2 linked regions of the Coturnix japonica genome follow. The protein of the gene in region 2 interacts with the protein of the main gene of each other region in a biochemical or structural test. Links are inferred from orthologs where the notes say so. Each region holds a gene or a part of one and is shown on either strand. Other genes may lie near its edges.

Evidence for each region.
Region 1: the proteins of NID1 (region 2) and FBLN1 form a complex in vitro, tested with the Homo sapiens proteins (3 studies listed by BioGRID). The link is inferred for Coturnix japonica from reciprocal best matches to the Homo sapiens genes NID1 and FBLN1.

The regions. Positions count from the first base shown.
Region 1 is NC_029516.1:64,806,067-64,811,735, reverse strand, and holds the start of FBLN1 (fibulin-1), read right to left. Parts: upstream 4,009-5,669; 5' UTR 3,495-4,008; coding exon 3,416-3,494; intron 2,877-3,415; exon of another isoform or gene 2,857-2,876; intron 2,813-2,856; exon of another isoform or gene 2,540-2,812; intron 1-2,539. UniProt on the Homo sapiens protein: Incorporated into fibronectin-containing matrix fibers. May play a role in cell adhesion and migration along protein fibers within the extracellular matrix (ECM).
Region 2 is NC_029518.1:34,038,992-34,044,171, reverse strand, and holds part of NID1 (nidogen-1), read right to left. Parts: intron 4,512-5,180; coding exon 4,385-4,511; intron 1,180-4,384; coding exon 1,008-1,179; intron 356-1,007; coding exon 198-355; intron 1-197. UniProt on the Homo sapiens protein: Sulfated glycoprotein widely distributed in basement membranes and tightly associated with laminin. Also binds to collagen IV and perlecan. It probably has a role in cell-extracellular matrix interactions.

The DNA.
Region 1 (5,669 bases), on a different chromosome or scaffold from region 2:
TTTGTCTATTCTGGCTAAAATTATCTGCTAATTTCTTCCTTCCTCAACTTCATCCATTTTCCTTATTCCTTGTCACTGGCAAGCACCACTTTTTGCTACTTGTATTCACAAAGTTTTGTTTATTTATCTTTTTCATACTAAGCCATTTCATCCTACTATGAAAATTCTTGCCCATACCATGATTTTTTAGTTCAGATTTCAACTCTTGACCTGCTCTGTCTCATTCCCCTCATGTTCTTTACAAGTATACTTTGAAGACAGTAGACTCTTATTCTGCTAATCAAACTGATTTCCACGCCATCATCTTCAGATCTATCCACAGTTCATGAAAACAAATTCATATTCACCTTTATATTCGCCTTCTGCTTTCAAAAATGCTAACAAAAATACTGCTGAATAACTGACATTGGATGCCTACCTGTGTGACATGGTGTAGGGAGCCTGCTTTGGCAGGGGGGTTGGACTCAATGATCTCTAGAGGTCCCTTCCAACCCCTACAGTTCTGTGATTCTGTGACATAGATCTATTTATTGACAGTACATGTAGAGTTGATATCAAGCTTGCAATATTGGCTGTGCATAGCAATAAATAAACACATTTTGAAAATCCACTGACCTGCCATCAGATTTTGCCTGCAATCTCAAGGAATCATATAAATACACTGCAGTAACTTGATAAGCTAGTTTATGAATTTTTGTCTTGGATTTGACCAACACGTCTGCTTTCAATTACAGAGATGAAAAACAAGAGTTTAACATTTTGCTCTTCCCCTGATTGCAATAAAACATCATGACTGAAAACGGTTTATTAAAAAGAAATTCAACAGAAAACTAATTTAGAGGTAGACAGCACTCATGTTTTAGGATTAGATTTTTTGGTGGTACATGATTTTTAGGGGGTTGGAACTCGATGCTCTTCAAGCCATTCTATGATTCTATGATTAGGGAGACTGTAGCTATGATAGCAAGCAAAAAAGAATAAAACCAGCCTTTTATAAGTCCTACTCCACCCACATATTTCTTATAAACTTACTGCTATAAAAGCACATGTAAAAATCATGATCTTAAAATAAAACTCATTCCACAAACTCAGTGGAACATTTTTTTATTACAAAATATAAGCTCACACTGAATAGACACGTTTCCAGATGTTTAGTGAGTTAAACTGTCTGTGTCTGTCATACCAAGACATGCCAAAGACCCAGTAAGAGCGTGAACTGTTCATACACTGACTGGATGTAATGATGTGACTAATCCACCTCTTTCAGTAGGGATGGCAATTTATACCATAAGCAAAAGTTGTTATAATAAAAGTGCAATATTTAACTTAAAATGAAGTTGCATCATAAAATCCAAGTACGCACATTCCTATAAGCATTCTATCTCCACATGCAATGGGCATTTCCTCTGAACTTAGCCCCAGGTCTTTAATTAATAAATACTGATTATCTGATAATTCATTAGAAGAGAAAAGCAAACGAGAAAGCTGAAAGAAGAAAGCTTATGAGGAGGCTGTATTTCAGAAATAAGTTGATAAAGTAACTTGGCAAATTACATCATAAAGAGGCCCTTGCCTTTATCCCAAGCCTCTTTATAGTACTCACACAGAGGAAAACAGATTCTGCCCCAAACAGCAAACACTCAAACAACGTGAGTTTGCCATGTAACCAGCTCATTTGCTTGCAAAACTCAGATAGCCTTGTGAAGGAAAGCAGAAAAAAATATCTTACAGTGATTACAATTACTGGTAGGTTCCATAGCATATCCACATCTTCGAATAATACTTTATTCGAAGTCTTCCCTTCAAGAAGTAGTGTCCTAAACAAGGACCCTCATTTGCTCTTAGACGTTTAAGTCTAACTTTATCTAATTTAATGTTTTATTATTCTGAAGACACAGCAATTCCCACTGAAATTAGAGTTCTGATTTTTATTCGAGAATAAAGACCTGATATACCTTCTATGGACAAATTTGTCTATAATTTGCAGTAAGATTCAAAAGCCTGACATAACACATCCAATGACTTCCCCCCACCAAAAAAAAAAAAAAAAAAAAAAAAGGAGGAAATTAATCCTATTGACAAGAGCCTCAATCTACAGCAATCTGTGATTGTGCACTCTTTTTTCTTCTTCTTTTTCTTCTTTTTCTTCTCTCTCTCTCTTTTTTTTTTTTTTTTTTTTTTTTTTCCCCCCAAAAAAAAAAAAAAAAAAAAAAAGGAGTGAATTAGCTAAGGTTAAAGATACACTGAATTACACAGTGAAGTGATTCAGTGTTTTACAGCAGTTTTCAGCAGTCAATATTATTACATCCCTTCATTGTGAAGCATCAAAGCTACAAATGTACCCTGCCCTCAGAAAGAAAGTAGAAGCTATCCTTGGATTTTAGCACTAAACTTCGCTTTCCAGTCCCTCCTTATCCTGTTCCTCGTCTTTAAAAGGAGTGGCTAACATCCCCGTCCAAGGCAAGTATTTCAAAGGACGGCTGTCACAACTGCTGTGCAATTGGGAAATCCAAGAGCCAAATAGTAAATAATAAATTACCTCACTGGCTTTCGTCTGCCATCGTTAGGCTTGTGGGGGGGCACATGTTTGTAAATGTTTGCTGGCGTGCAGTATGATCCATTCTGGGCTCAGAACAGCCCCTCAGAGTCAGGCAGACAGATGCCACTGAGCCGCTAGCTATGATGAACCCACCGTCACAGCATGAAAAGCAGCTTCTCTGATATATCTTAACAGTTACACTTCCATACACTCTGCCGGTTTAAACCAAACAAATGTCCTCTTTTGATGCGGTTCCAAGAGAACAGGGAAATACGTGCACGGTATAGAGACAAGGCCAGCAGGACCCAGGTCCTCACCCTCCTCAGCAACTCCACCACGCAGCTCCACTCGGACGTTTCACATTCAGTCTTTGACATGCCAGCGCCCTGCCTCACTGCCTCCTGCTGCGGCCAAATCCTCAGCTCCCCCTCGGACCCACATCCCACTTTTGGAGTGCAACCCGGTGCCCGGCGGCTCACACCTGCCCTCTCCCCAGGGCCGGCCTCGGAGCCCCTCACGTCACTGCTTCGGAGCTGCCGAACTCCGCGGGCCGCGCCCGGCCCCGCCGCCTGGGCAGCCCCACTACGGCTGTTACACCGACTCCTTGCCCTGGGCAGCACAGCCAACCTGCCGGGCCGGAGCCTCGGGAGCGGTGCTCGCCACGCCTTTCTCCTCACGGGAACGTGGCAGCGGCGCTGTAAAGCCTGCCCGGGACGTCCAGGGGCACGGGTGAGGTGTGTGTGGAGGGGTGAAAGCCGCAGGGTAGCCCGGTGGCCCTTCGCTCTAAGTTTGCTCCCGCCCCGCGGTCTTGCTCGCCCCTCAGGCAGCCCGCCGGGACCCCCGCCGCCCGCACTGGGTGCCGCTTGCCGTACTTACCTTGTCCCCGGAGCGCAGGCAACAACGCCAGGAGCAGCAGCAGCAGCCTCAGCGGCCGGGCCCCGCGGAGCTTGTCCATCGGCCGGCGGGAGCACTCGCACCGAGCGGGGCTTGGCTCTCCCCGCTTCTCGCTCGCCGCCGTAGCTGCTGTGCCTGAGGTTATCCCAGCCGCCTGAGACCGGTTGGAAAAGAGCTCGGAAGAACCCCCCCCCCCTACACACACACACTCGGTGGGCTTTACAAAGATTTAATTCACTGCCTCCCCCGGTTAATTACACAGCCTGCAAGTGCTCAGCAGAACTGAGCGGCACCGCGGCTCGGAGGCAGAGCCCCTGTTGTGCTGATACCCCTACTCTCTCCTCGCCACCCCCACACAGGCTGTAAATGCGACTCCCTTCGGCTCGGAAAACTTTACAGATCCTCAGAGTGAACCTAGGGACGGCCTGACTGATTGTGTGAGCGAGAAACGCAGCGAGTTCTGTCGGAGCCAAGTGGGAGAAAGCCACAAACAAAGGCAAAGCAGAGGAAAAACAAAAGAAACCACCTAGCAGGGGAGGAAAGGTTTAACCTCTGGAGAGGAGATTTTTCAACACTCCCCTCCCCTTCCCCCTTCCTTGGTCTTTCCATGGATTTTGCTTTGCAATAACTTTTATTTTTCCAGTGCAAAGGATTTTAAAAAGGAGAGACATTCTAGAATTTCTAAACAAGCTTCGCTGGGGGTGTGGGGGGAGGAGGGGGGAAGACAAACAAACAAATCAACCCCACCGTTCTTACTTCTGGTAAAATACCAGGATGAGAATTTCTACCCAGCTCTGCTCTGTCGACCCCCACCTCCATTATCTTATTTAAACAGGAACACAAACACTGATAGTGGTCAAAGGCAGAGCTGGGTTGGAGGCACTCAGTTGGCTATGTCGCTGCCAAGATCTTTCAGATAACATGGGAACAATGTTTACGTGCAAAAACATGTGGAAACAAACAGGGAGTTCATCGCTCCACTCCACTTTGCAGTTGGTTTTACTCAGGAATAGCTGTAAGTTTCTTTATGTTTGCTTGGCAGTTGTGCCACAGGGGACTCTGATTGGACTATTTGTCTTGTGAGCACTCAGTGTGCCTGAGTATCTCTCCTCAAAACATCCAACTGGAAAACAGCATTTAAGACGCATTAGAGTTGAAAGCATGCAGATTTCTTTCTGCCTCTGGTGACTTGGTCTTTTCTCTCTTGTGGCCATGAGTTCAACTAGCCGAACAGCTTGCTTTCAGCAATGGTTTCAAGTGGTCAACTGAGGAAGGACAAGCTCAAGGAAAGCCTTCTCTCAGTTATCCTGCCAGCCTCCAGCTGCATTGAGTTTGGAACATTTCCTCAGAGCAATGTAATTTCTGTGTACTTAGTAGACCTCGGTGAATTCCTATCCCAGGTATTTATCCAGTCTCACCATGAGTTCTCGTAAACCTTTATCATCCGAAATATCCTTTGGCAACAGATTTACACTGATCTTCCACTGCTTGTGTGAAAGTCCATTTTTTTCCCTCTGCACCCAGCTTCATCCATCTTCTGCTGGTGCCTCCTCACTGCTGCAGGAAGACACATGAAAGAACTGAGCCCTATCCCCACTCCTCATGCCATGGATATCCTGCCCACCAGGTCATCCTTTCTGTGACCACTGTTTCTTCCTCCCCTCCCCCTAATTTTATTTTTTTCTTCCCTCCACCCCCCATTTCATTTGTATGGGGCAGTTAAAAAAAGGTGAGGGAGGACAGAGGACTAACTTTATGCAGGGGTATCTTTGCTTGCCTTTTCTACACACATCCCCTCTATTTCTGCCTCTTCTTTAAATGCCCTGCTTTCAAGTCTTCTTGCATCAGTTACAGTGGGACTTTGGCAGTTTCTTCACCACCTCCCAGCTGCTGTTTTTAACACATAGACAGCCTCAGGAGGCAACTAACAAAGATCACACCTTGTCTAAATTTTGCACCAGCTTAACTGGAATAGCTGTGTCTCCTTTACAGAAACCCTAGAGTCAGTTCCACAGTGGCTTATTTCACATTACTTTAAACCTGCTTCTAACCGATAAAAGATGAAAATAAAGAAGTTCACCAGTTTTACTGAAGCAATATAAAGTCACACATAATAGCTAGTCCACACAAGGGCTTACTCTGATTAACATCATCTGTAGAGTAAGAATTCCTTCTTCCTGCTTGGTTTGCCACCACAAGTTGATTACCAGGAACGAGGCAAACTCAACTAAGAATT
Region 2 (5,180 bases):
TTAAAATCTTTCAGTTTACTCAGAACCCAACAGAGGTAGTACGAACAAATGAAGTGACTCTACTAAAGCCAAAAATCAAGGCATGAAATCAAAGTGTAGCCCAAAGAGCTATAAATACTAATTGGCTGTGCATCTTCTCAGAATTGGATGTATGTAGTATACTAATACTATGAAGATAGACTTCAACACCTGTTTACCTGCATCTACCCAACACAGCATTGAGGAATAAGGATCAAACGTCAGCCCATTTGGCAATCCCAGATCATCCTTCACAAGAATTCTTCTGTTTGTGCCATCCATGTATGAAGTTTCAATTTTAGGAGCTTCTCTGTTCCAGTCAGTCCAGTACAGGTTTCTTAAGAGGAAGAAAAATAGGTAAAAATAAAGACTGACTGATCTCAAGTGACTGTTGTAATCAAGGAAAAAAAAAATAATAAATAGTAAGGATAAAAATGACCCTACATAGCCAAAGTAGTAGTTGCATTAATAAGAAGCACCAAATTGCCTTTTAATATCAAAGTGACAAAACATCCCGAAGATATACTGAATGACATACTTCTTGTATGAGATTCTTTTCTTTCTTATTAAAAGAAGAAATGCTTTCCATGCTTTGTTTAGGTTATGTGCTAGATGCCAGGCAAAACCAATTCTATTTCAGCAGTTCTGTGGACTGTTTAAAATGTACAACCACAGCACTCCTCCCACCACCCATATCTACGCAGGCTAAGCAGCAGAAGCAGCAACATTTGGCACACATCTGCAGGATTCATTCAAAATCCTGTTTTTCTTTGCAGCACATCAAGCACTATACAATGGAATCAATCAGAGTAGTTTGTGGTCAGGGGTGAACTTCAGAGAAGGCCATTAATTCAATGACACTTTATTATTAATGGCCATTTGTCAGTGGTGGGTTTTTTTGCCCTTGAATGCTCTTTCTGAGGCTAAGAATTTACTTGACCCCTGTAAAGGCTAAGCTTTGCGTGCGTATTTTCAAAAGGTATCCATACCCTCTCACAGGATCCACAACAATTGCACGGGGGTTCACCAGGCCAGTGTCAAAAAGGATGCGACGCTGGCGCCCATCCAGTCTGGCCACTTCTATTCTATCAAGTTGAGAGTCAGTCCAGAAGATGTTGCGACCTAGATGATCTAGCGCTATCCCTTCAGGGCTTCCCAGGTCTGCAAGGGAAAAGAGAAAAATATTCATAGACATCATATTTCTTAGCAACATTCACCTTATAAGCATTCACAACTCTGAACAGAGAATTTTATTTTTTTTTTCAGTTTTCTGGTTGCAGGCAATAAAAGCTACATCAGTTGGAAAAGTTTAATAGCTTTTTCCCCAGGCCTCCCTTAGTACATCTCCCTCCTTGGGAACACATCCTTTAAATAAGCCTCAGATTTCACCTATATGTCATATGTAGCTAAAGCACAGATAGCCCAGAGAGTTAAGATACTAACTTATGTTTCATACTATGCATTATACCAGACTGTTTTTCTGAATGATAAATATAAGAACCAAACCAGCACACATCCCAAGTCTGAATATAAACTTGCCTTGAAGAGGAAAGAAAAAAATAAATAAATAAGAGTAGATAACAGGGAAATAAATAGAGACTATGAGAATCCTACTCTACCATCCATAGCAAGTCAGGATCCAGAATTATTTTATAGTGTTTAATATATTATTTAATATTCCCCCTTCTTTGGTAAGTAGCACTCATTTGAAAACTGGATTTTTAATAAGCTTAGCCAAAGCAATACAGAAAGCATGCTCTGAAGCACTAGAGATAATGCTATTAGTTAACTGATGGAATTTAGATCCTGTTCTTTGTTTTTGCACAGCAATCCTTTTTGGAACATATTTTAGTACTGTATGTGCACTATTTGTCTTGGATAGTTAGTTGTTCCAAAAACAACAGGAAATAACAGATAACATCCTTTCTGCTTTAGCATTAGTAATTCCTAACTCGCATGAAAGATGCATAATAAATATATAGCTCTTCAAGGTTTAATTCAGCCACTGTGGAAAAGCTGCTTCTATGCTTTTCAACATTCATCCATTAATTGAAAAGGAGCATGAAGGCTGTGTGGGATGTTGTGAGGCCAAAGCCACTACAGATCACTTCTAGTCTGATTTCAGTTCCAGAATAAGTAGAATTGCATGTGGTCACTCCCAAAACAGGCAGTGACCCCTCATACCAGCCAGCTCTCAAGAAATCTTTCAAATGTGGATCTACACATCACTTAAATGCCCTGCAACAAAAGAATGTGGCAAATGAGTGTTCTACTAATTTTCAAGTGTATTTATGAAAGCCATTAAACAGTGTGTGACACAAACGATCCCTGTGAAGAACAGGCATCACTGACACAGACGTGCCCCTACTGCACTGCCATCAAGGCTGGTACAGTCACAGGCTCTACTCTTTGGAAACAGACAGGCTTGTATAGATAGACAACTAACATAATTTAAGCAATTGCAACAAAGATGGAAGTTCTCCTTTCTGACCTGCCCCCACAGCTGCAGAGCTCAGAAAGCCTCCACAGGCAACACAGCTGCAGGAATAGATGGGAACTGGATGGGGCTCCACAATAAAACATGTTTCTGCAGAACAATTCAACTTGGATTGCAAGAGCTTTAACAACAACAACAAAAAAAAGTGCATTCCACAAAAATACGTGAGAACTGAAGAAAGCAGCTGCAGCCCTCCAGAGGAAAAAGGCAAAGATCAAAACAAAATAATAAATTCTTATGAGCTTTCTAAGAGCGAGGCATTTTCCCATTTACTGAAATTTTAAAGGTCCAGTTTTGAGTACCACAGAGTTATTCAATACTGAATATTCAGCCATAAATTGTTCTGACTCTGTATTAAAAATCCAGTTAACATTTCCACGCAGGAAGTAAAAAGAAACATTGCTCAACATCTCTTCAGAAGCACTGAACACATCCCATGACAAGGCAATATATGGAAAAATATCTCATAATTTCTGAGGTGGTTTTTGTAGCAGATAAAAACAAGGTTCCCATGCAGCAGTGGTACATTGTAGGCACTCTGAGTTACCTAAAATAATCCAATTTAGTAGAAAACCTTCACAAATATTCCAAAAACATTTTATATACTGCAAGGCTTTCGAAGCACACACACACACAGTCTCATTAGAACAATTCATACATATACAAAATCTTTAGCAATAGCAATTTCCTTCACTTTTTAAAGTGCACAATATGACAAAGTCCCTGAAGAGTAGATCCTCAAATGGTAGAGACTGGAGATCCTTTCCCCATTGATGCTGTAGTTATACATGCATATGCATTCACTGCCTACACTGTTTTAGAGGCACTCTTAAATTAAAAATGTTAGGATTAAAAGGAAGTTCTACAAATTCCTCAGCCAACAAGTTGTATAGAAATACAGCTAAGCTGTACAGAAATAGTTGCTGCTGTGATTAGGGATGGCTTTAAGTTTTCCCTTAACCCTTCCCAGGACAAAAGCACAATCCAAGCTGCTCCCCTCTCTCCATTGCCCCTGAGAGCTGAAATGGAGTAACAACAAACTGGCTATTCTGAAGCATATTTCTACTCCAAGTAGAAATTTGCAACACATCCAAAGAAAACCAAAGCAAATTTATTGTAGAGTTTTAGAACTTGTTGATTATTTTGCTAAATTAATTTCCTACATTTCAATGACAGTACCTGGGAAAGATAAAAAGCAAGAAACTCTAGTACTTTACAAGTATTCTAGGATCCCAGGGATGTGAATGAGTATAAAAAAAGTGCTTCCCTCTAGCTTCTTTTGCTGTTTGTTTGTTCTCCCCCCCCCCCCCCCCAAGTTCCACATTCACTTGGTTCCCTAAACCTGTCCCTCCTTCTTAACATTTTAAGAAATGTTTTCATATTTTAAATGCTCTAAGCCTTAGATACCCCAGTTCCATCATGAACACCTGCAATTTGCTGCTACTCTTGTTACTTATCTTTTAGTCAGTCAATAACAAAGTGTCAGTTCAGCAGAGAACTATTACAGACCTATTCAGAGGTCCCTTGCAAAGAACTTTACAAAAGCTTCACAAAATCCAGTTACACAGTGTTTACTGGATCACCTTTGTCTGCACATCCACTGACTGATGAAAAGCTTTCATGATTTTCCTACATTAAAGAGTCATCAAAACCATAACCCAAATTGTAATGTAGTGTAAGCACTGCAATGAAGTGCTACTACACAGGAAACAGATCCTTCTTCATTTTAAGTCACCAAAGCTTTTGGGTATCTTTTATTTGAGTAACCTTCACTTGTAATAAGGCTGCAGATCAAATAACACCTATGAATTATCTAATTCATGTCTTTAATGGCATTAATAGGAAGTAGGAAGAACTTGGTGCTGTTACCTGTTCTGATGATGGTCGTTGGCTCCCCACCATGTAGGCTAGCTCTACTGATCGATGGACCACTGATGTCTGTCCAGTAAACCATCTTGTCCATGCAGTCATAAGCAACTCCAATAATAACTTTGTCCTGTTGTCAGCAAGCAAATTAGATCAAGCAGAGAAAAGGACGATGTGGGCACTCACTGTACAGTAGCTTAGAATAGTGCTTCCAATCGTTTCTTTTAACAAGCAGACACTATTCACAGAGCTTACTCCAAAGAGGTATGTATGTTCATTTAAAGAAAGTTCTTGCTGACATCTTGCTGTAGTATTCCTCATCTGCTTTTTTTCCTTTCATTCTTTCTGTATATTCAGCCGTTTTGTATGGATTGATGCATTTTAGCAGTTACTTAAAAGTATCAATTACCACAACAAAGTTCTAGCAAAGTAAGTTCATTAAATAACAGTTTTGGAAATACTTCACAAATAAATCTTGAACACTCTCACTGGAATAAGGAAGAAATGATTTTTTGGACAAAAGAAGGTAGGTCTGAAGATTTGAGTTTAGAGTGTCCTGCAGGTCTTCTAGATTTTTCACCAATAGAAACGTGAGGTTAGCAGTATTTATATAGTCAACTGCTGGAGGCATGTGAGATCACAAATATTAATTTCTTGCCCTATGATGTATTCATTTAAAGCAAATAACTTTTTCTATAGCTCAGTTATCTTCCCCCCTTACCTCCCCAAATAGTCAGGTCAAAAATTCAGTGACAAAGTGCTGAGATACCAAAATCTTAAGAAAACATAAAAATTGAGT